Callithrix jacchus: one gene and its partners. The protein of the gene in region 2 interacts with the protein of the main gene of each other region in a pairwise test. Links are inferred from orthologs where the notes say so. Each region holds a gene or a part of one and is shown on either strand. Other genes may lie near its edges.

Region 1 (4,908 bases), on a different chromosome or scaffold from region 2:
ATCAAAAATCTTAGCTAGATCTTCTGGATACTTGCTGCTATTCCTTGCACTTTGATGTTATGGAGATGGCTTCTTTCCTCAAACCTCAGCCAGGTGCTATAGCTGATGCCTGTAATCCCAGCACTTTGGGAAGCCAAGGCAAGAGGATTGCTTGAGGTCAGGAGTTCAAGACCAGCCTGGGTAACTAGCAAGACCTTCATCTCAAAAAAAAAAAAATTAGCCATGCATGGTATCACACACCCAGGTACTCAGGAGGCTAAGGCAGGAGGATCACTAGCGCCTACACGTTCAAGGCTGCAATGAGCCATGATCACTACTGCACTCCAGCCTGGAAAACAGAACAAAACCCTATCTCACACACACACACACACACACACACACACAAAAAAAAAAAAAAAAAAAAAACAAGGCCGGGAGCAGTGGCTCAGGCCTGTAATCCCAGCACTTTGGGAGGCTGTGGTGGGTAGATCACATGAGGTCAGGAATTCAAGACCAGCCTGGACAACATGGTAAAACCCTCTCTCTACTAAAAATAAAAAAATTAGCTAAGTGTGGTGGTTGGCACCTATAATCCCAGCTACTCAGCAGGCTGAGGCAGGAAGATCACTAGAACCCAGGAGATGGAGATTGCAGTGAGCCGAGACTGCGCCACTGCACTCCAGCCCAGGCGTCGAGTGAAAAATCTCAAAAAAAAAAAAAAAAAAACAATCGGCCAGGTGTGGTGGCTCACACCTGTAATCCAAGCACTTTGGAGGCTGAGGTGGGCGGATCACCTGAGGTCAGGAGTTCAAGACCAGCCTGAACAACATGGTGAAACCCATCTTTAAAAAACGCAAAACGAAACAAAAACTGGCCCGGTGCGGTGGCTCAAGCCTGTAATCCCAGCACTTTGGGAGGCGGAGGCAGATGGATCAGGAGGTCAAGAGATCGAGGCCATCCTGGTCAACATGGTGAAACCCTGTCTCTACTAAAAATACAAAAAATTAGCTGGGCATGGTGGCACGTGCCTGTAATCCCAGCTACTCAGGAGGCTGAGGCAGGAGAATTGCCTGAACCCAGGAGGCAGAGGTTGTGGTGAGCCGAGATCTCGCCATTGCACTCCAGCCTGGTTAACAAGAACAAAACTCCGTCTCAAAACAAACAAACAAAAACAAACCCTTGCTAGCTTCCAACTTTTCTTTTCTTTTTTTTTAATTGTTGTTGAGACAAGAGTCTTACTGTCACCCAGACTAGAGGGCAGTGGAGCATGTTGGCTCACCACAACCTCCACCTCCTAGGCTCAAGTGATTCTCCTTTTGGGTAGCTGGGACTATAGGCATACACTACCACTCCCGGCTAATTTTTGTATTTTTGGTAGAGACGGGATTTCACCCTGTTGGCCAGGCTGGTGATCCGCCCACCTCAGCCTCCTAAAGTGCTGGGATTACAGGCCTCTGCCCCTGGCCAGCTTCCAACTTTTCTTCTGCAGCTTCCTCATCTCTCCTAGCCCTCATAGAATTGAAGAGAATTAGGGACTTGCTTGAGATTAAGTTTCAGTTTAAGAAAATGTTGCGGGTGGTTTGATCTTCAATTCAGACCACTAAAACTTTCTCCACATCAGCAATAACGCTGTTTAGTTTTCTTTTCTTTTTTTTTTTTTTTTTAAGACGGAGTTTCACTCTTATTATCCAGGCTAGAATGCAACGGCCAGATCTCAGCTCACTGCAACCTCCACCTCCCAGGTTCAAGCAATTCTCCTACCTCAGTCTCCCGATAGCTGGGATTACAGGCATGTGCCACCATGCCTGGCTAATTTTTTGTATTTTTAGTAGAGATGGGATTCCACCATGTTGGCCAGGCTGGTTTCAAACTCCCGACCTCAGGTGATCCACACACCTCGGCTTCCCAAAGTGCTGGGATTACACCCAGGTGAAATCTGTTGGAGCCCTCCTTCCTCCCCTCTCTCTCTACTGAGCCACCGCACCTGGCTGGCTGTTTAACCTTTTTTTTTTTTTTTAAATCACCGGTGTGTTCCCTGGAGTACCACTTTTAATTTCCTTCAACAACTTTTTCTTTGTATTCACACAACCTGGCTGTTCCGAACAAGAGGTCTAGCTTTCAGGTTTTCAGCTTTTGATGTATCTTCACTAAGCTTAGTCATTTCCAGCTTTTGATATAAAGTGAGAGACATGGGACTCTTCCTTTCACTTGAACATTTAGGAGCCACTGTGGGGCTATTAATTGGTCTAATTTCAATATTGTTGCCTCTCAGGCTACAGGGAGGGCAGAGAGGGAGGAGAGAAACAAAACTGGCTGGTAGGTGGAGCAGTCAGACAGAACACTTTAGTTTGCTGTCTTACACCGGTGCGGTTCGTGGCGACCCAAAACAATTCAATAATAGCATCAAAGATCACAGATCATTGTAACGATATACCTAAAATAAGAAGTTTTAAATACAGGAAGAGCGCACATGCTTGGAAAAATAGTTGCTTGGTGCAGGGCTGCTTGCTACAAACTTTTATTTTGTAAAAACTACAATATCCGTGAAGTGCAATATAGTGAGGTATGGCTCTACTCAAGTCCTTCATATCATTCAACAAATACTTACGACACTGTAGTTAAATCTGAACGGCCTCCCACTCGGAGAAGACTTGAAGGTTTGTTTACTGCGTTAGTCCCCGCGCGTTCAGTGGGGCAAGGTCGCCTATACACTAGCCCTTCCGCTCCCGGGCCACACAGCCGGGAAGACGAAACCCCTGATTTGGATCCCTGCACGCTAAGGAGCACCGGCCAGGAGCGCACTAGAAGCCTGGAAGGATGCGGTGCCCCGGGGCGGAGGACAAGTTTAGAAGACACGGCGAGAGAGGATGGCGGGCTCCCGGCCCCATCCTGTGCTCTACTGTCGCGCTTCCTCCATTCCCACACCATAGACCCGCAGATAGGCAGCATCACCTGCACTTCGAGGGGTGGAAGGAGGGCTCCGATAGATTTCACCTGGCCCAGCTCGGAGAAACGCGACAGAGCTCCGTGCCGGGCTCACAGGCGGAGAGGCCGAGCCCCTGAGAGGTTGGGGACGTTTGGGCCAGGTCTCATACCTGAGGAAGCCGAGCCCTCCGGCCTTACGCTGGAAGAAGTCCCGGCAGGAGCCGGCGGTCCGGGACCCGCTTCCTTACTCCCGCGCGACCCACGCCTGCCTCAAGGATTCGCACGCCTCCAGACGCGGGTCTCGCGACGGGCCCGTCCCTTTCTCCACGGCGGTGACGCAGCGCGCACGAGGACCACACCGCCCAGACCCCGGGGTTTGCGCAGCCTCAGTCGGGCAGGTGGCGCACCTCCCTCCGGCCGCTTTCCAGAGGCCACGAGGCGAGTGGATTCCGACCAGCCCCACTAAGAGCTCTTTCCCTTCTTGGCTCGCTGGCTTTGCTGTGAGCTCAGCTTGCTACTGCTCCTCTTAGACGAGAGGAGTGGGAGGTGTTCCGAGGCGGAACCCCGACTTTCGCCGCCAGCGGCCAAGCACTGAGGATAAGGTTCCAGCTGGGAGGCGGCTGTGGACAAAAGTCCCCCTTCCCTCACTTCCGGGCTCGTGCGTGAGCCTCTCGGGCTGTTAGTTCGCGGGGAGTGCAAGCCGGAACCGTGGATTAGGACCCGCCCATGCGTGGACCTGGCCGGTTGCTACAACGTGGACTTGGAGGGGAGAGGTCCCATGGCCCCCGAATTATAAATCCCAGGCTTATCTCTTTTTGTAACTCTTCCTTCTACAATGTAATTAATAAACGCTCCTTTTTGTGAAATTTTTCAACTTGGGCCAATCCTAATAATCTTAAAAATAGGAGTGAGAGGGGTAAGTGGGACGTTTTGCAATACTTTTTTAAGTTCATGTCTTTTATGAACTTAAGAGTTTTGTCTTCCGGTTTGTTGAAGCAGTATGTCAGACAACATTTGCCACAACAATGTCTGTCAAAGTGGCTTGCCATAAACACTCCAGCACCACATTCATCAGAAGGGCACTCTCAACCAAGGCGACTAATTTTGCCATTCTCATCCACCTTATAGTATTTCAGGACAGCCAGCTTAACCTTCTTTCTCTTGTGCTTATTCTTCTTGGAAGTGGTGTAAGACTTCTTCCTTTTCTTAGCACCACCACGAAGTCTCAACACAAGAGGAAGAGTAGACTCCTTTTGAATGTTGTAGTCAAAATACATCCATCTTCCAGTTGCTTGCCAGCAAAGATCAGTCTTTGCTGATCAGGAGGAATTCCTTATCCTGGATCATGGCCTTTACATTTTCTCTTATCCGAGGGTTCGACCTCGAGTGATGGTCTTCCCCCTAAGGGTTTTCACGAAAATCTGCATGTGGGTGGTGGCTCCACCGCAGATGGCAGATCGAAAAGCTGAAATACTTTTTTACTGTGTTTTGTAAAACATTTGAAAGCATGTGAGATTCCTGGTGCAGAGACTAAAAGCTAGCAATAGTCATTTAAATACTTGACTTTATGCTAAAAACATGAGGAAAATTGTTGGGTGTCTTGGGATTAGAATCACGGATAATTTGTATTTTTGCCCTATTTTCTACATGCTAATTTTTGCAATTAAAACATTTTTCATTTATTTATTTTTTGAGATGGATTCTCCTGTCGTCTAGGCTGTAGTGCAGTGGTGCAATCTCAGTTCACTGCCACCTCCACCTCCTGGGTTCAAGCAATTCTCCTGCTTCAACCACCCAGGCTAATTTTTGTATATATTTTTTTGGGGGGAGAGACGGGTTTCACCATGTTGGCCAGGTGTGTCTCCAACTCCTGACCTCAAGTGATCCACCTGCCTCAGCCTCCCTGTAATCCCTCAGCCATGAGCCACCACTCCTGGCCTCAATTAAAACATAATTTGAAAGGAGTTTTACTTTAGCGGACACCAAAGCCAATGTTTTAGGGAC
Region 2 (4,781 bases):
AATATATACAAACACAGATACAGTTATACTGAAATAGATTTATATTTGTATAGTGTATAGAACCTAGCTGTATCCATTAAGAAAGCCCAGAAGAAATGGCATCCATCTGACACTGGGATCTTGATTTCTAAACACCACGTTCTTTTTTTTTTTTTCTTTTTTGACATGGAGTCTCGCTCTGTAGCCCAGGCTGGAGTGCAGTGGTTCGATCTCAGCTCACTGCAACCTCCACCTCCCATGTCCCAGTTCAAGCAATTCTTCTACTTCAGCCTCCCAAGTAGCTGGGATTACAGGCATGAGCTGCCATGCCCAGCTAATTTTTGTATTTTTCAGTAGAAATGAAGTTTCACCATGTTGGCCAGTCTGGTCTTGAACTCCTGATCTCGTGATCCGCCCGCCTCAGCCTGCCAAAGTGCTGGGATTACAGGCATGAGCCACCCTCCCTGGCCAACACCACCTTCTAAACTAAAAGGAACCAGGGCTCCTTGGAGAAATGACTGATTCTGGGATATGTCAGGGCAAGCACAAGACGAGTCTGAATTCGTGCCAGAAAGAAAGACAGTGCTCCAGAAGGTTGGGATGGCTACAGAGAGGCCAACTTGAAGGGGCTCCTAATACCTCAATCTGGACAATGTACATGATAGCAATGAATTAGAATCCATGGAATAAAAAGATATACTAACAAAAATAGGCCGTGCAGGGTGGCTCACACCTGAATTCCCAGCACTGTGGGAGGCCAAGGTGGGTGGATCACTTAAGGTCAGGAGTTCAAGACCAGCCTGGCCAAGATGATGAAATTCCACCTCTACTAAAAACACAAAAATTAGCCAGGCACAGTCGTGGGTGACTGTAATCCTGCCTACTCAGGAGGCTGAGGCAGGAAAATTGCTTGGACCCGGGAGGTGGAGGTTGCAGTGAGCCAAGATCATGCCACTGCACTCCAGCCTTGGGAGAGAGAGCAAGATTCCATCTCAAAAAGAAAAAAAAGATATACTAACTAAAATTAACAACTGAATAGAAAAATGATGAGAAGAGTTGGTTCTTTCTCAGGAGAATCCTAACTAATAAATGTAGGAGTAATGGAAACAGAAAAATCATTTAACAAATGGCACACTAATAGTTATTTTCGGGAAACACTCCTCGGTGCTAAAATTAGTGAGAGGAGTATGGTTAGGAAACATCATCTTGCAGGGCCTGTGGCTCAGGCTGTAATCCCAGCACTTTGGGAGGCTGAGGCGGGCAGATCACTTGAGGTCAGCAGTTCAAGACTAGCCTGACCAACATGGTGAAACCCTGTCTTTACTAAAAATACAGAAAAAAAAAATTAGCTGGGTATGATGGCAGGCGCCAGTAATCCCACCTGCTCAGGAGGCTGAGGCAGAATCACTTGAACCCAGGAGATGGAGGTTGCAGTGAGCCAAGATTGAGACACTGAACTCCAGCCTGGTGACTGAGAGAGACTCTGTCTCAAAAAAAAAAAAAAAAAGAAAAAGAAAAGAAAAAGAAACAAGATCTTTACAAAGTCGCAAAATATTTCCCCACAGATACTTATTATTTACAAAGGGAAGGACCCTAACTTTATGGATACACTCGGCAGACATCACCTCAGCCACAGGGACATGACTAGCACCAACAGCCATGGCTACCCTGTGTCTTCTGAGACACTGGGAAGGACACAATTGCCCTTTTGAAGTTTTCTTGCCAAAAATGCATAATATAAAATCAATAACGAGAAAACATCAGAGAAACCCAAACCGGGGGGCATTTTACAAAACAGCAGACTCATCATTGGACCCTAGACCACAGTAAAGTCATCCATGAGTTAGCTGCTAAGTGAGAATAAATCCTTGTGGGAAGTAAAAATTTCCTTTTTAAATTTCCTGTCTTGGTAAAGAATAAGTGTGCCAACAACTTTGTCAAGCCCTATCCCATGTAGCTGTTAGACATGCCGTGCTTACAAGCATGTAGTACATTCAATGTCCCTGTACTTTAACCAAGATATCTGTGCTGGAGATGCTCACAGGCATGTCCCAGCTTTTACCCGTTTAGAAAAGTTTTAAGTTGTTAGCCAATTGGGCTTTAGTTTAGATCGTGAGGTCTGGCTCCAGCCAATGGAGATCAGACACAGGAGTAAGGACAACCCCAAATGCGTAACGAATACATTTGTGTGCATTCCTTTATTCACTGTACTCTGCAGACAACATGGTTAGTGAGGGTGCCCTTCCTGCAGTCCAGGAAGTAAAAACTGCATTGCTGAATGATCTTTTGTCTCAGTGCTAATTTTTCTTTGCAGCACCGAGCATCTATTTCCAACAATCCTGGAGAGCAGATAGTGGCATTATATTAACATGAACGCCAACATCTGCATGTTGCTGAATGAACTGTGGTTCTGTTCTGTAAGAGGTCAGCATCCTAGGGGCTCTGGGCAAAAGGCACAGGGGAAATCTTTGTACTCCTTTTGTATACTTTTTCTAAATTGCATATAAGTTTTTTTTTTTGAGACGGAGTTTCGCTCTCGTCGCCCAGGCTGAAGTGCAATGGCGCGCGCTCCGCTCACTGCAGCCTCCACCCCCCAGGTTCAAGAGATTCTCCTGCCTCAGCCTCCCGAGTAGCTGGAACAGCGGGCGCGTGCCACTACCCCCAGCTTTTGTAGTTTTAGTAGAGACGGCATTTTGCCATATTGGCCAAGATGGTCTCGAACTCCTGGCCTCAAGCAATCTGCCCGCCTCGACCTCCCAAAGCGCTGGGGTTATAGGCGCGACCTACCGCGCCCGGCCTATTTTATTTTTTTAACTCATACTCAGTGAGGCTGACTGGGAGCGGAGCCGTCCTTGCCGACGGCGGAACCGGCGAACTCTCCCGTGGCCCCGGTCGGTAGCACCCACCGCCCCAGGTCGCCCATGGGCGACCGAGGAAACGCGCCCGCCCCGCCGCAGCCTCCGCGAGGGGCTCTCCGGTCCCGGCCCGGCCGGGCTCTGAGGGTTGACCTCGCGCTCGGGGTCCCCACCAGAGCGCTGCGTCCTACTCTGTGGAAAATGCAAGTCCCGGCATTTTCCACAGAAAAGTGGTCTGAGCTGCGCCTCCCGAGCCGCCCGCGCCTCACCGGAACGCGCTTCCGCAGCACTGCCCGGTCCCGCCGCGTTGCCACAGCGACCGCGTCCGTCGGCCGTGTCTGGCTGCGCTCGGTGCAGCGCTCGGGTCCCGCCGGCAGGAAACGGGATCCCTGGCGCTGGGTTCCGGCGCCTCCTGCGCCGCCAGGTTTCGCGCTGCGCGAGCCCGAGAGAGGCCACGAGGCCTGCCGCGGATCGAAGAGTGAGCCCGGCCTCTGATCAGCGGAGCGACCCCGGATGGGGCTCCGGGCTGAGCCGCGCGAGGCGCCCCCACCTTCGCCGCCCCCGGCCAGGCTGAGGGCCCCAGGCGCCCGCTCCCGAAGGGTTGACCTGAGCCTTCGCCCCGGGACCAGGGAGCACGAGGGCGGGCGGGGCCTCCACGGGCCGGCGTCGTCCTCGGGGCAGGGGGCGCCGCGCCCAGAACCGGGATGTCACGAGTTCCCGGGGCTGCCCACGGGCTTGGAGACCCCGATGAGGGAACTGGGGAAAGGAGGGGGTCGGGACAGAAGGAGACCCAGAGACGCCCCCGCCGTCCTGTGGGAACAGTATCCTCAGGCTCAGCCATTCCCAACCATTCCTCAAAAAAAGGCATCTAGATGTTCTTATCCATCTGCGAGGGATGAACTGAGGCCGGCCCGGGACAGGGCAGCCTGGTTCACAGAACCTTCAGCCACCACTAATGCGTGGAGTGGACGGGGTATCTGGGGTCTGGGAGTTCCCCTGGTGGGGCAGTCAGCCAGGGGTCTGGTGTCATCCCCCACCCGCGTTGTTACCCGGGATCACTCCTCTTTGTGCCTGCAGCCAGGCACCCTGCAGCCTTCCTCCCACCCACGCCCGGGACAATGCTGGAGGAGCCTAGGACTCGGGCGCTGGTGGCTGACCTCACCATGGGAGCCCCCAAAAGCTGTTTGCCTGAGGCCTCCAGGCCTCTTTCGGGGTCCTAAAAACCCAGGGACCCAGGACAAGAGGTGTGAGGGGACCCCGCCTGGATGGGCCAGAGCAAGCCACTTCCCCTCAGGTTTGGGGAATGCCGGCGTCAGGCTTGCAGAGGCAACTTCTCCATCTGCCTGGTTCCCAAGCTCTTCGGCAGTAGAGGAGCCAAGAAATGAAAGGGGCTGGTGCCTGTGGGCATGCTCTGCTCCTGGGCCCCGTGTCCAGTTGTTCCAGGAGGAGGGGAGTAGGCAGTGACTCCTGGCCTGGGTCCTGGGGAAAGGAGGGTACGGATGGGAGTTCAGTGGGAGACGTCCGCCATGCACTCCATGTGCCAGACAGCTTGTCCCCAGAAGCTAGGGCTGCCCTGCAACAGGGTACTGGCCGTGTTGGCTGAGGGCTGGGGGCAGGGAGGATCCTCTGGACAGGATGACCCTCCAGGAAGAGACCAGCAAGACTGGCACTGTCCAGGTGGGACCATGAGCCAGACGGCGGCAGACATGCCCCAAAGCCACTGCTACTGTAGCCGCTTCCCAGAAGTCAAGGCCTGGAGGCAGGGCCAGTGTTGCCAGGGATCCCAGTATGAACACAGGCAGGACCAGGGGATACTCCCTCAAGGCTAGTGTGGAACAGGTCGTGCCCCCCAGCAGGTGGGACCCAAAGGGAGTCCTCCCAAGGCTGGCTTCATCCAGAAGGAGAGGGTCCAGAGTGCCCTGGCATTCATCTTCCTCAGCTGTCCTG
Region 3 (4,748 bases), about 27 Mb from region 2:
CCATAGCTCCCTCACTAAGGGAGGCTGACTCTAAGAGTGTGCATTTGTCTTATAAAAGAAAGTGTCAGCCCAATTGGAGATAACTCTCGAACTTTGGGTTTTCTCATCTTTGGCCTCCAAAGAATAATATACATAAATATAAAACTCTATGGAAAATGTATGGCATTGTATCAGAATGACAGGAGTTTCAGTGCATATTCTGATTTTGAGACAAGAAAATCAATTCTGCTCATCTGAGGCCAGAATGACAATTAGTTCTTGTTGAAGTGAGAGATTACTTACTCAGCTCTTTTTTTTTATGTTTATGTGAAATTTCAGTCACTCAGAACAAAATGGGGCAAGAGAATGGGATTGTAATGTGCTTCTAAAAGATATATGTTTCCATTTCTATATTCACATGGATCTTATGAGATTCTCATACTTATAAATTGACCACCAATTAGTAAAATAAATATTTATATCTAAGGCCCATTCATTGTACTTCTTGGTACTATCAGAATTCTCTATTTAATATCCTAGACCTCAAAGAAAAGTGCTTTGGAGGAGCAAAAAAGGAAAGGGGGAATAACAACATGACCTGTTATCCAAAATGAACACATAAGCACAGATCACTTTTCAAAATGTCCATGATTTCAGAACATAAATTCAGACACACCCTTCAAAGAAGCTTTAGAGAGGAGAAAACCTGGCCAGCTTCCCAAATCTCACTGCATCCAATTGGACTGGGTGATGACCAAGATCAAAGGCATGTGGTGATTGGACAGAGGGCCAGGAGGAACTGGCATCCTCAAGGCTGCTGGAAATTAGCCAGCTCAAACATACCAAGCACAAGCAATTGAAAATAAAGACAGGCCAGTAATCGAATACACATGGGGCTACACTTCATGAAATGCAAACTTGACGTGTTCACGAAGGAGACGTTTCCAGGTCTTCAACAGCATATACTCAATAGGAAAATCAAAACATCCCCTTTTGCAACCTGGAGCCTGAGTCTTTGGCTCCCACTTTAGGGAAATGGGCAAAATGACCTCTTTGTCATAGTACCCATCATGCTCCCTGCCCTCCTCCACTTCCAGACCCCTCTCCCCTAAGTAACTTTGTCTCTCCAACACACTTTCCAACCCCATACTCCCTTAGAAACATAGAGCAAAGATGACAAATTCTTTTCTGTAGGTTCTGATTCACAAAGGGAGAGCATTAGAATGGGGGCTTTGGATAGAAAAACCCTTGAAAATAAGTGCCTGAATAAAGATATAAAAAGAGAAAAGTAAAGGAAGATTTTTTTTTCAAACTTGATGCCCTTTAAATATGTATATATGGATTACATTTTCGTGGAGGAAAACAGTAAAATCCAGCAGCATTTAAGGGATTTCCTCTCACCAAATTGTCTCCGGTCCCTTAATTTTGTTTAAGCCTTGCTGAGTACTTTGTTCACGGTCCCTAGTGTGGTGATTTGCATCCCCCTATCTGTGTTGCTGTTTGCAGGGCAGGCAGCTGTCTCAGTCTAACTCTAGCTGGGAAAGGTAAGGATCTTTGTTTTGCTGTTTGAAAGATCTGGGAAGGAAATGTCTAATGCTTAGGTGGGTTAGGGGCATAGATAGAATTCATTCATTGGAGGCTTTAAGAAAAGTTCTCCAAACTTAAAGGAGTCTCCTAAAGCCATGTGCTTTAGAAAGAACTAGAGAGATTTCCTCTTCCTTGTGAAAAGAGAGGGCTTGCAGAAATAAGGCTGGTTGCATTGTGGATGAAATTTTGCATTTGGGGGCAGGTGTCCCTGAAGGGATCCACAGGGGTGTTTCATACATTATAGACAAAGAGTGGAAGGAGGAATAAACATTCAGAGGCAACACGAGATCATGAGGAATTCTCCTTGAATTTCAATTTGAAGAGGTAAAGTCAGTTAAAGCTGCTTGTGTCCATGGTTAGGATAACCACTTTATGCCAAAGCTTTCTACTTCTTTAAATTTAACGTACAAATCATCAGTTCGCTACTCAGAGTCTAGAGATGTGTATCTGCGTATCAAGGCAGGTGCATATACCCTGGAGCACTGGGGTGAATGAGGCACCTGAGCCTGACAAGGCTGAAAAAAGCTTTGGTACTGGAAGTGACTACAGACCAGCCCATGCTCCCAGGGCAAAGATGCACTCCCTGTGCCTCATTATAGACTCAGCAAAGGGCTCACCATGGGAAAAGGTGTCATTGTCCTCTCTCTAGAAGGTCAATTTGTGCACCTGTAGCCTTGGTAACAGGAAAGCATGCTTTTCAACAAAATAAGGTGATATTCAGAGCTTTGGTGCAGTTATTGGGCTATCTTGGGAGGGAAGTAGTACTGGAAAGTAGAGGGGAATTGTGGATAAGAAGACAGCTCTTTTAAGGAGCTTCTCAAGAACCTCCATCTCACCATCTTCCCGGGACAACTTTGGCAAAAAAAGTATTCCTGACCCTCAACACCAAGTTACAGTGCTCCTCACGGATGAAGGCTGTCTCTTTAGGTCTGACATTCTTAAAAGTGTTAGGATCATGGTGACCAAGGCCTTCCAGGTACTTGCCATGACTCCCCCAAGTCTCAGAGACTTTTCAACTTTATGTTTTATAATGACATAACCCTCTGGCTTTCATTCTAGAATAAACAACTCTGGTCCCTCTCCTTTTGTGACAAGTCATCTGGTATTGCTACAAAGCAAGGCTGCGGAGAGTGTGCTGTGCTAGAGGAGAGGTAAGATGTTTGAGAGCATCCAAGCCCTTTGCCAGCAATTAGAAAAATATAACAATTTGTTTTTCTTCTAACAAAGAAGGAAAACAAATCTCTTCCAACAGTTAATTTGGATTTGTGGTTCACAGTATTAATTCGAAGGGGTTATTAACACTTGTGCAGATGAAAAATGAGAATGAAAAACTTTTCATTACAAAGTGTAGGATGAGCTCCCAGTATTACCTTTTCTTCTCAAAAAGACAATCTAGAGCTTTACATATTTCAAGTTTTGAAAAATTGCACAGATTGTCTGTAAGAAAGCATAAACCTATAAAGCCACTTTATAGGTATATGGGGGTGGGAAATAGATGTCTACCTTCATTGTTTGAGTGTATGAGGTGTCAAGTTGTACACGTTTGAATGTTTAAAATACCATGTTCCTTAAAGTGGGCCAAGGAACAGAGATCTCAACTTAGGTAGGGAGCTTGTCACAGACCTACTGAATCAGAATCTGAATTTAGCAATCTCCCCAAGTGGTATATGTAACCATTAAAGATTAAGGTTCAAACCAGGGGTTTCTCTGTTACTGTGTGACCCTTGTCAAACCACTTAACCTCTCTGAGCCTGTTTCCTCATTTATGAACTAGTGAAAATTAATGTTAACGTGTGACATGTCTTAATATTGTGCCATCTCCAGAGTAGGTGCTCTGTAAATGGTAGCAATTATCATGATGGTGATAATCTTAGTACTGATAAAGTTACTGCCTTGGAAAAGCAATAAACAATCATGTTTAAATCAACATGACTGGTTTTTCCCCTTAACCGCAAACATTTTTGCCTCCTACCCTCATTCCTAAATGAATTAACACTGAACAAGTGAGGATTTAACCTTCAGTTGATTATCACGTGCATATAAATAAAGAATAATGGGAAAACCTAGGAACATGGATTTTTGCTGTCTTAGAGACTGAATTCAGCTGCCTGATGAGTTCACAGCTGTTTCTGCTGTCCTGGAGAGTCTGTCCCCTTTGCTCTGTCCCCTCAGCCACGTCTGCAACACTGACTCTGGGATTTTCTTATAAAAATATCTGATGGACTGATGGACGGGAGGAAGATCTGGAGGGCGGCAGGGGAAAAAATGAGTCATTCAAATTCACAAAGCAGACCGCTTAGTAAATACTGCAAGAGAAATAAAAGTAAAAGCTGGCCTTTTTACTTTTTTCTCTGGGGAACCTGTAGAAATGATTTGGAGTTATCATGTCACTGAGTAAAGTTGGGGGAAGCCAAAACTCAGAATCTGCTGGCAAGGAAAAGAACTAAGGAAAAAAAAAGTTAGGGAGGGGCAAACCGGAGGGGGAGGGAATAAAAAGACAGAGGGAGGGAAAGACAAGCGTCATTTAGGAACAGAGGTAGCCTGAAGAAGCAGGAACTCCAGGATCCCAAAAAAAGACCATATAGTAAAGTATTTTCACATCTTTTCTTTTCCCCAGAAGAGACCCCTAACCTGTCATTTTATTGACAGCCGAGCTGTTAGAGGCTCTTTCCCAGAAGTTGGACAAAGAGGCTCAAGCGTTGCTGTTTCTTCCCTTCCAAGTCAAGTTGTTTCTTTGGTAATGGATTGCCTCTCTCGGAGGTGAGTATAAGTAATTTGGGGACAGATATTGATTTTCAGGTTAGCCCAATCTCAGCTTTGGGGTGAAGATAAGTTTTCCAGACATAATCTCAAATATCTTTTAACTGGCCTCGCCAGTAATTAGGGTGTCATTGGACAACAGTGATTAATTAGTTTAGTAATTAAAAATGACATGTGAGTAGGCAGCTGTAATATTTAGTTTCACTGCTCAGGGAGTGATATTTTGACTTTCCAGGGTAGGGAAGAACTATTTGATTTGGAGTTGAACGTGTTTTCGGTGGATGCTTAATATATTCAAAGTAGTAATCTCATTGAAATGGTCTCAAGTATCTTTCTAAACTTGTTCAGTAACTACAACTGCTCAACTGTGTAGCAGCTAGACAGCTTTTTGAAAATGGAAGACAGTGACTTAACATGTCTGA
Region 4 (4,690 bases), on a different chromosome or scaffold from region 2:
TCACATTTACCAATTTCATTGTTTGGGGTTTCATGTAGTCCTTGCACAAACCTATGAGCTAGGGCCATGATTCCAGTTTTGCAGAGTGGGGAACCCGTCACAGAGCTAGTGAGAGGCCACACCAGGCCTCCAGTCCGGCTGGTCCATCTCTAGGACCTCAGCTCAGCACCATGTCCTCGTACTGCAGGCCTCAGCGGTCAGCACCAGGCATCCCATGGGGACTTAAGATTCCAAGGCATTTTAGCACTGCTTAGAAGTTTGGGGTAAGATCTTTTCATCCTTTTAAATTTTTATTTGATTTTTGAGATGGAGTCTCACTCTTTCGCCCAGGCTGGAGTGCAATGGTGCAGTCTCAGCTCACTGCAACCTCCACCTCCTGGGTTTAAGTGATTCTCGTGCCTCAGCCTCCCAAGTAGCTGGGATTACAGGCACCTGCCACTATGCCCAGCTAATTTTTGTGTTTTTAGTAGAGATGGGGTTTCACCATGTTGGCCAGGCTGGTCTTGACCTCAGGTGATCCTCTGCCTCAGCCTCCCAAAGTGCTGGGATTACAGGCAAGAGCCACTGTGCCCGGCCTCAGGTGAGATTTAAATGTTGTAACTCCTTCCAGAACCTCATGGCCTATGAATATGCCCTGTCTCCTGGACACAACCTTCAACTTCCTGACTGGGGCTGGGAGTGCAAGGATTTGTTTATTTTTTCTTGAAACAGAGTCTTCCTCTGTTGCCCTGGCTGGAGTGCAGTGACACAATCTGGGCTTGCTGCAGCCTCTGCCTCCCAGGTTCAAGCGATTCTCGTGCCTCAGCCTTCCAAGTAGCTGGGGTTACAGGCCCGAGACACTGGGCCTGGCTAATTTGTTTTGCATTTTTGTCAAAGATGGTATTTCACCATTTTGGCCAGGCTGGTCTTGAACTCCTGGCCTCAGGTGATTCACCCGCCTCAACCCTGCAAAATGCTGGGATTACAGGCCTCAGTAACCGCACCCAGCCTGGGAGTGCGAGGATTTAAATAAAATCTTGTGAAAGTCCAGTTTGGTTCCTTCGGGGCCCCAGCTGGGTCTGGGGGCAGCGCAGGAGACAGGCTGATGGAGAGGGCCTGCCTCAGGCACCGCCTGGGCATCTTCACGGGTGTGAGGACTCTGTGAGATGGCCGAGTCCTGAGGTCCCCTGTACAGACAGATGGGGAAACACAGGTGAAGTGGGGACAGGGACTTACATCAGGTCACACGGGGAGCCAGTGGCTGAGGCAGGAGCAGAGGCAGGACCTGGCCCTGGGTCTCTGCGCTGAACCATTCCTGGGCATCCTGCTGAATTTGCCCCCAGAAGGAAATGGGCCTCACATACCCCACTGCCGCCTCCTAGCATACTTTTGTCCTGACCCCTTGAGACTGGCTGAGGACTGGTTGCCATAGAGATGGCCTGTTGGGCAGTTCCACAGCGGGGGTGGGGGATGGGGCAGGATGGGGAGGACACCGATATGCTAAATACCCACCAACAGTTGGTTAGGGCCCCGTTGGGGCGACCAGGGCAGGACACACAGCTTCAGGCTCCGGGGAGCAGCTCTAGGCTGCTCAAGCTGCTGTTGACCATCTCTCGGGACAAGCAGGTGAGGGAGGCCCAGTGGGGGCATTTCCAGGAGGGCCGCGTTGGGTCAGGGAGGCCTGGGCTGGGGAGGCTCTTGAGAAACCATGATACCTGAGCTGAGGTCCAGTGAAAGTCAGGGGGCAGGACCGGGACAGGGACCACAGGGAGCCCTAAAGGCCTTGGGGGAAGCTGAGGGATGATGGGGCAATTTAGGGAACACTGCGGGAGGAACAGGGTTTCAAGAAAGATGAAGACCACCTTGATGAAGACCACCTTGGTTTCCGCCTTGGCTGTAGCAGGTCCAGGGCCCAATGGGACATTTGGGAGTGCAGTCCAGGGCCCAGAGGCGGCCTGGTGCAAAGGTGACGAATCTGGGCTCCACCACTTTCCAGCTGTGTGACCTCAGTTACTCAGCCTCTCTGAGCCTCAGCTTTCTCCTCCGCATGAGAGGAGTGATCTCCTCCGCATGATGGGGCCTCCTAGGGTCCTTGGGAAGGTAATGTGTGTTCATGTATGAAAGTCCTGAGCACATAGTAGGTGCTCAGCAGATGGCGGCTGTTGCTATTTTAATATGCAGAATGGAGGTGTTCAGTCGAGTTCTTTTGTTTTGTTTTGTTTTTTTTGAGATGGTGTTTTGCCCTTGTTGCTCAGGCTGGAGTGCAATGGCGCAACCTCGGCTCCCTGCAGCCTCTGCCTCCCGGGGTTCAAGCGATTCTCCTGCCTCAGCCTCCCAAGTAGCTGAGATTACAGGCACAGGCCACCACATCCGGCTAATTTTTTTTTTTTTGTATTTTTAGTAGAGATGGGGTTTCACCATGTTGGCCAGGCTGATCTCGAACTCCTGGCCTCAGATGATCTGCCCACCTCCGCCTTTCAAAGTGCTGGGATTACAGGCATGAGCCCCGCGCTCGGCTGTGTTCCATTGGTTTTAATGGTAACAAGGGCCCAGAGGGGTCCAGTCAGGCCCAGCCAGGTGCACAGAAGAGGAGGGCACCCAGGCAAGGTGCAACACAGTCCAGAAGGCTGCTCCGAGCTAACCTCCCCTACTGTCTGTGCCCAGGGCCACCTGGGGAGTGGTGACGGTGTGCCAAATCAGGACCTGCAACGGAGGTCTCAGAGCTCAAGGCAGACAGCAAAGAAGGACCGCAAGCCCAGGGGTCAGAGCAAGAAAGGACAGGGTTCTGAAGAGGCTGAGGCGTAAGGAGCAGTAGGATGGGTCAGGTGGGTGCTGGGGTCAGGCCCTTCTGGGGGCTGGTGTGGAACCTGACCCCCACCCTCTCCTTCTTCAGTCTCTTCACCCCTTCTGCTCGGAAGCCCTCCTTCCCCTTCCAGTGGGCCTGGGAAAGCATTGCCACAGATGTCCGGGATGCACTTCAGCCAAGCTCCCCAGCCTCTAGCCACCAAGTCCTGCCCCTGCCCTCCTCACTCTCCCAGCCTCAGTTCAGGCGCAAGTCCACAGGCAGCCTCCCAGAGAACCCTGGCTGCTGCCAGAAGACAGAGACACGAAACCTAAAGGTGAGACAGCGGCTGAGAGCCTGGGGCGGTGTCTCCATCCTTCCTGGCAAAGGAGGACAAGGACCAGAGCCCCACTGTGAGTGTGACCTCCAGCTGCCTGGGAGGAGGCCAGGATCAGGATCGGTGTCCGACGAGCAGGTCCAGCTGCCAGGCCCGGGTGCTGAGAAAGCCGAGAAGGGTCTGAGTTCTGTGGAGCTGCCCCAGCGCCCCAGAAGGGAGCCGATCTCAGAGGAGGAGCAATTCTCAGATGCCACAGAGGAGGCTGAGGAGGGGGAGCACAGGGCTACCCACAGAAGGAGGGCTGGTTCTCAGAAAAAGGGGCAGATTTCTGGAGAGGAGGCTTCAGATGAGGGGGAACAGGGCCAGAGCCAGGGGAGCACCCCCAGCTACAACAACCTCCAAAGGCCACGGAGGAGGAAGACAAGGGCCAAGGAGCTACAGGAGCCGTGGGACCTGGAGAAGCTGCACAGTCAGCTCCAGAGAGACCTGGATTGTGGTGAGCACGCGGCTCAGAGCCTGGGTTCCCCGAAGCAACACCACTGGGAGAGCACTCAGGGAGGCAGGAGCTCAGGCAGGCTAGGCTGTGCCCTGGGTGCTGGGGGGATTGCCTGGTGGGCTGGGAGAGAGAGGGCAGTCCCTGACTTGATCTCACTGTGGACAGGTCCCCAAAAGCAGCACTGGAGGGCTCGGAGAGATGCCTTCCAGGCCTCCAAACGTCATGGGAAGGGCTATGCCTTGGGAGGCGATGAAACCTTCCTGTCTGCCAACCTGTCTAACCGCACCTTCCACAAACGACAGGAAGCCACCAGGTAAGAGGGTAGAGAAGGGAGTGGGAGGCAAGAGTGAGAAGTAGAGATGGAGCCAGTTCTCTAAGACGTGCTGAGGCATTTGAACTCTCATTCATTTCTTTGTTTATCCATTCGCCAAACTTTTGGATTCTCCATCCATTCATCCACTCATCCATCCCTCCATCCACCCAACCATCCATCCACCCATCCACCCATCCATCCATCATCCATCCATCCAAACATCATCCATCCAAACATCCATCCATCCATCCATCCATCCATCCGCCCATCCATACATCCATCCACCCATCCACCCCACCATCCATCCATCCATCCACCCACCCACCCACTCATCCATCCATTCATCTAAACACCATCCATCCATTCATCCACCCTCTCACTCATCCATCCATCCACCCACCCACCCACTCATCCATCCATTCATCCAAACATCATCCATCCATTCATCCACCCTCTCACTCATCCATCCATCCGCCCACCCACCCATCCACCCACCCACCCATCCATCCATCCACCCACCCACCCACTCATCCATCCATTCATCCAAACATCATCCATCCATTCACCCACCCTCTCACTCATCCATCCATCTGCCCACCCACCCATCCACCCACCCACCCATCCATCCATCCACCCACCCACCCACTCACCCATCCATTCATCCATCCATCCATCCATCCATCCAGCTACTGAAAACATCCACTCAACCGTGTATCCATCTCTCTGAATACCTGGCCAATTATTTATTGACACAGTCACTTTTATTACCCATCTTTTCTTCTA
Region 5 (4,644 bases), on a different chromosome or scaffold from region 2:
ACATTCTGTCAATTTGGGAGTTGTGCCCCTGGTGGTAGAGACCGGGAAGGCACTGGACCCTGGGGTTTGGACTGGAATGAATTTGGGAGTTGTGTGTCGCCCCCTTGTGGTAGACGCCGGGAAGGCACCGGGCCCTAGGGTTTGGACTGGAATGATGAACGCGGGAGTTGTGTGTCGCCCCCTTGTGGTAGACGCCGGGAAGGCACTGGGCCCTAGGGTTTGGACTGGAATGATGAATTTGGGAGTTGTCCCAGTGGGTGTCTGTCGACTACAGAGGAGTGAATGCAGCCGAACCCTAGAAATTTTGGAGCTAAGGAAGAATCAGAAAAGAGATGGAAGGCCGGGCGCAGTGGCTCAAGCCTGTCATCCTAACACTTTGGGAGGTCGAGGTGGGCAGATCCCTTGAGGCCAGAAGGTTGAGATCAGCCTGGCCAACATGGTGAAACCACGTCTCCACTAAAAATGTAGAATTTAGCCAGGCGTGATGCTGGGTGCCTGTAATCCCAGCTACTCCGGAGGCTGAGGCAGGAGAATCGGCTGAACCCGGGAGGCAGAGGTTGCAGTGATCCGAGATCGCGCCACTGCACTCCGATCTGGTGACAGAGAGACTCCATCTAAAAAAAAAAAAAAAAAAAAAAAAAAAAGGCGGGCCGGGCGCGATGGCTCAAGCCTGTAATCCCAGCACTTTGGGAGGCCAAGGCGGGTGGATCATGAGGTCAAGAGATTGAGACCATCCTGGTCAACATGGTGAAACCCCGTCTCTACTAAAAATACAAAAACTTAGCTAGGCATGGCTGCATGTGCCTGTAATCCCAGCTACTAGGGAGGCTGAGGCAGGAGAATTGCCTGAACCCAGGAGGCGGAGGTTGCGGTGAGGCGAGATTGCACCATTGCACTCCAGCCTGGGTAACAAGAGTGAAACTCCGTCTCAAAAAAAAAAAAAAAAGGCTGGTGATTCTCATACACAGCTAAGGTGAGAATCCCCGGTTCCCCTGAGTCACTCCGAGCTGCTGTTAATGTGCAGGTTCTGACCCAAGTGATGAGTCAGGTCCCAGGTGATGCCAATGCTGTCCTTCTGTGGACCACACTTGGAGCAGGAATAATGAAGAGAAGGCTGGGCAAGGTGGCTCACAACTGTAATCCTGGCATTTTGGGAGGCCAAGATGGGTGATCGCTTGAGCCCAGGAATTCCAGACCAGCCTGGGCAACATAGTGAGCTTCTGTTTCTAGCACACACACACACACACACACACACACGAGCTGGGTGGGATGGTGTGTGCCTGTAGTCCCAGCTACTAGGGAGGCTGAGGTAGTAGGATCAATTGAGCCTGGGAATTAGAACGCTGCAGTGAGTGTATGATTGTGACAACTGCCCTCCAGCTTGGACAACAGAATGAGACCCTGTCTCTTAAAAAAAAAAAAAAAAAAAAGACTCGGAAACGAAGTGGTTGAACTTGCTTTCTTTCCTTTCCTTCTCTTCTCCTCCTCTCCTCTCTTCTCCTCCCCTCTCCTCTCCCTCCCTTTCTTTCTCTCTTCTTTTTTGATAGAGTCTTGCTCTGTCACCCAGGCTGGATTGCAGTGGTGCAATCTTCGCTCACTGCAACCTCCACCTCCCGGGTTCAAACGATTCTTCTGCCTCAACCTCTTGAGTAGCTGGGATTACAGGCACCTGCCACCACGCCCAGCCAATTTTTGTATTTTTAGTAGAGATGGGGTTTCACCATATTGGTCAGGCTGGTCTTGAACTCCTGACATCAGGTGATCCACAGCCTTGGCCTCCCAAAGTGCTGGAATTACAGGAACGAGCCACTGCACCCAGTCACCCAGCCTGGTCGTTTTCTTTTTCTTTGAGATGGAGTCTCGCTCTGTCACCAGGATGGAATGCAATGGCGCCATCTTGGCAGAATCCTGACGCCTGTGCTCTTAACGGAGGCTTGAAAACAAATGGGCAGAGCACTTCTCATCGTGTCATGTATCCCACTGCAGCAGAGCAGATGCAGGAAGGGCCTGCGGAAGAGCAAAGTCCTCAAAACAAATGAGTCTCCCTCCCAGCTCCATCTGGGTCCTTCTCATTTAGTTAAATAAATTCAAGAAAGGTCAGCCAGGGGGAACATGGTGGCTCATGCCTGTAATCCCAGCACTTTGGGAGGCCAAGGCGGGCGGATCACTTGAGGTCACGAGTTTGCTACCAGCTGGCCGACATGGTGAAACCTCGTCTCTACTAAAAATACAAAAATTAACTGGGCGTGATGGTGTGCGCCTGTAATCCCAGCTACTTGGGAGGGGGAAGCAGGAGAACCGCTTGAACCGGGGAGGCGGAGGTTGCTGTGAGCAGAGATTGCACCATTGCACTCCAGCCTGAGTGACACAGCCAGACACCGTCTAAAAAAAAAAAAAAAAAAAAGCCGGGCGCAGTGGCTCACGCCTGTAATCCCAGCACTTTGGGAGGCTGAGGTGGGTGGATTACCTGAGGTCAGGAGTTCGAGATCAGCCTGACCAATATGGTGAAACCCCATCTTAAAAAAAAATTTTTTTTTTAAATAATAATAATGAAAAGAAAAACAAGCAATTCTTGGCTATGAGTATACAGTAGACGCTCAGTCAAGGTAATTGAAGGATTGGATGACAGCTGATGAATCCCCAGGTGCCTGCGCCGGTCGCTACCCGTGCACTCTGGTAGCTACGAGGGTCCAGCCAGGGCGCTCGCACCAAGACCCCGCGGGGGCGCTGTGGGGGTGACGTGCAGGTCCCGGCGTGGTCGTCATGGTATGAGTTCCCCCCAGTCTTGCTTGCGTATTTGGCGCCTCCGTGGGAGCTCCTGGCAAGGGTCCTCGCGGCGCGGCTGCAGACAGGGACCGACAGCTCCGGAATCCCGGAGAAGCCAGCGCGGACCAGGGGGAAGTGGGAGTTCGTTAGGGCGCGGCTCGGGCACTTTGCGGGGTTGGGAATGGGAACATGGGTGCTCAAGGTGGCGGATGGGAGCACGTGGGCGGCGGATGCCAGGGCCGCGGGGTGTGCTCCATCTTCCGGCTCCCGGTCCGCGGTGAGCGAGAGTGGACTAGCACCTGCAGGTGACAGCTGGGGCTGGACAAATGCCGGGCGGTGCACAGGACTCTGGCCGGCCTCAGAGCTGTTTGGCGCCAGCTGGCGGCTTCCTGCCAACCGGACCACGATCGGCGCTGCACTCCCGGCTCTCCTGGGCGCCCCTTGCTGGGCGGAGCCGGGGCCCAATAGGACTGGCCTCCAGCGCATAGGGGTTGGGGACCGGCTTGAGGGTGGGAGATAGTTTCTGGAGTGGACAAGGTGAATGGCAGATGCCAGGTGGTGACCTAGTTTCCCAGGCCTTGGGGCAGAGTCAGTTTACCCCAGAGGGCAGAGTGGTGGCCGTGGACCCGCTGTACACACAGGAAGGGCTGCCCAATCTCCGTGGGTGATGGGGTCGAGGAGAGGTCCCTGGACCGAGGTGCTTGTTGACTCTGGATCTCTCTGGACAGATGGTGACAGAGACTGGGAAGTAGCATGGCTTAGTTCTGGGGGTGGCCGAATGAGGAAATTGATGGGGAATGAAGACTCCTGGGGGCCCCCAGGCCCCTGACAGGGGTTAGGGGCCTGGGGGACAGAGAACACAGTGCTGTCCCTGGAGATGGAGAGGGGGCTTGCACTACAGCCAGATCTAGGGAACTTCAGAGCATGGGAACAGGGGAGTGTCCTCTGGACCTGCTGCCAGGGTTTTTTCATCCCATGGTAACTGTGCCCTTCTCCCAAGATTGTGCAGAATCAGTGCCTCTGACTTGGAACTGGGGCTGGCTAGGAACCTCCTAGCCTTACTTTCTCTACCAGTAAAATGGGCCCTTTGGGCCAGGCATGGTGGCTCATGCCTGTAATCCTAGAACTTTGGGAGACCGAGGTGGGTGAATCGCAAGGTCAGGAGTTCGAGACCAGCCTGGCCAACATGGTGAAACCCCGTCTCTACTAAATTTACAAAAATTAGCCAGGAGTGGTGGTGGGTGCCTGTAGTCCCAGCTACTTGGGAGGCTAAGGATAATCGCTTGAACCAGGAAGGTGGAGGTTGTAGTGAGCCCTGCCTGGGCAAGAGTGAGATCCGGTCTACTAAAAAAGAAAAAAAAAAGGGGGGGGGGCCCTTGACTCAGTCCTATCCTCCTCCCCAGGTAGAGAGGGTCCCAGGCAGCCATGGGCTCGGTGACCAGAGGAATGCGAAGTACTCAGCAGACATTTCCCAAGCCTCTCCCCAAGGTCAGCTTTTCATCCTCCTATCCACACCAAAGGGCTCACTCGTCATCATGACACCCTTAAGGATGAGGGAATTGGAAGGCAGGGGGGTCAAGTCTTCTCCAGGGTCCCACAGTTGTAGTTTCAAGGCTTCTGACTAAGGGGGAGCTTAGGTGGCCTTGGAGCACTGGGGCCTCCCAATGGCATGTCCCGCCCCATCCTGAGTGACAACCACCTCAGCTGGGGCCCAGGGGTGCTGGGAGGGTGGACACCCAACCCAAGCCATGTGAGCTGAGGCTGCAGCCCCATCAAGGACAGGGCAGTCTTCAGGTCCCCGGTGAGGCTGTGGGCAGTGGGGCAGACAGATCGGTTCTAAGGGCCTGAGGATCCCCTCCTGTCCCTTGAAGTAGCTGA

The links. The genes of interacting proteins can lie anywhere in the genome.
Region 1: the proteins of CCDC57 (region 2) and SFI1 interact in a two-hybrid assay, tested with the Homo sapiens proteins (2 studies listed by BioGRID). The two-hybrid records come from large-scale screens. The link is inferred for Callithrix jacchus from reciprocal best matches to the Homo sapiens genes CCDC57 and SFI1.
Region 3: the proteins of CCDC57 (region 2) and TMEM100 interact in binary tests that used the Homo sapiens proteins (3 or more experiments, as listed by UniProt). The two-hybrid records come from large-scale screens. The link is inferred for Callithrix jacchus from reciprocal best matches to the Homo sapiens genes CCDC57 and TMEM100.
Region 4: the proteins of CCDC57 (region 2) and TSGA10IP interact in binary tests that used the Homo sapiens proteins (3 or more experiments, as listed by UniProt). The two-hybrid records come from large-scale screens. The link is inferred for Callithrix jacchus from reciprocal best matches to the Homo sapiens genes CCDC57 and TSGA10IP.
Region 5: the proteins of CCDC57 (region 2) and PRAM1 interact in binary tests that used the Homo sapiens proteins (3 or more experiments, as listed by UniProt). The two-hybrid records come from large-scale screens. The link is inferred for Callithrix jacchus from reciprocal best matches to the Homo sapiens genes CCDC57 and PRAM1.

Annotation. Positions count from the first base shown.
Region 1 is NC_133502.1:201,983,113-201,988,020, reverse strand, and holds the start of SFI1 (protein SFI1 homolog), read right to left. Parts: upstream 3,253-4,908; 5' UTR 3,075-3,252; intron 1-3,074. UniProt on the Homo sapiens protein: Plays a role in the dynamic structure of centrosome-associated contractile fibers via its interaction with CETN2.
Region 2 is NC_133506.1:137,848,369-137,853,149, forward strand, and holds the start of CCDC57 (coiled-coil domain-containing protein 57), read right to left. Parts: upstream 3,149-4,781; 5' UTR 3,104-3,148; intron 1-3,103. UniProt on the Homo sapiens protein: Pleiotropic regulator of centriole duplication, mitosis, and ciliogenesis. Critical interface between centrosome and microtubule-mediated cellular processes. Centriole duplication protein required for recruitment of CEP63, CEP152, and PLK4 to the centrosome.
Region 3 is NC_133506.1:110,543,517-110,548,264, forward strand, and holds the start of TMEM100 (transmembrane protein 100), read left to right. Parts: upstream 1-1,496; 5' UTR 1,497-1,523; intron 1,524-2,625; 5' UTR 2,626-2,717; intron 2,718-4,085; exon of another isoform or gene 4,086-4,215; 5' UTR 4,216-4,326; intron 4,327-4,748. UniProt on the Homo sapiens protein: Plays a role during embryonic arterial endothelium differentiation and vascular morphogenesis through the ACVRL1 receptor-dependent signaling pathway upon stimulation by bone morphogenetic proteins, such as GDF2/BMP9 and BMP10.
Region 4 is NC_133511.1:123,021,970-123,026,659, forward strand, and holds the start of TSGA10IP (testis-specific protein 10-interacting protein), read left to right. Parts: upstream 1-1,438; 5' UTR 1,439-1,449; coding exon 1,450-1,605; intron 1,606-2,643; coding exon 2,644-2,780; intron 2,781-2,872; coding exon 2,873-3,594; intron 3,595-3,759; coding exon 3,760-3,907; intron 3,908-4,690.
Region 5 is NC_133523.1:8,023,350-8,027,993, forward strand, and holds the start of PRAM1 (PML-RARA-regulated adapter molecule 1), read right to left. Parts: upstream 3,253-4,644; coding exon 2,665-3,252; intron 1-2,664. UniProt on the Homo sapiens protein: May be involved in myeloid differentiation. May be involved in integrin signaling in neutrophils. Binds to PtdIns(4)P.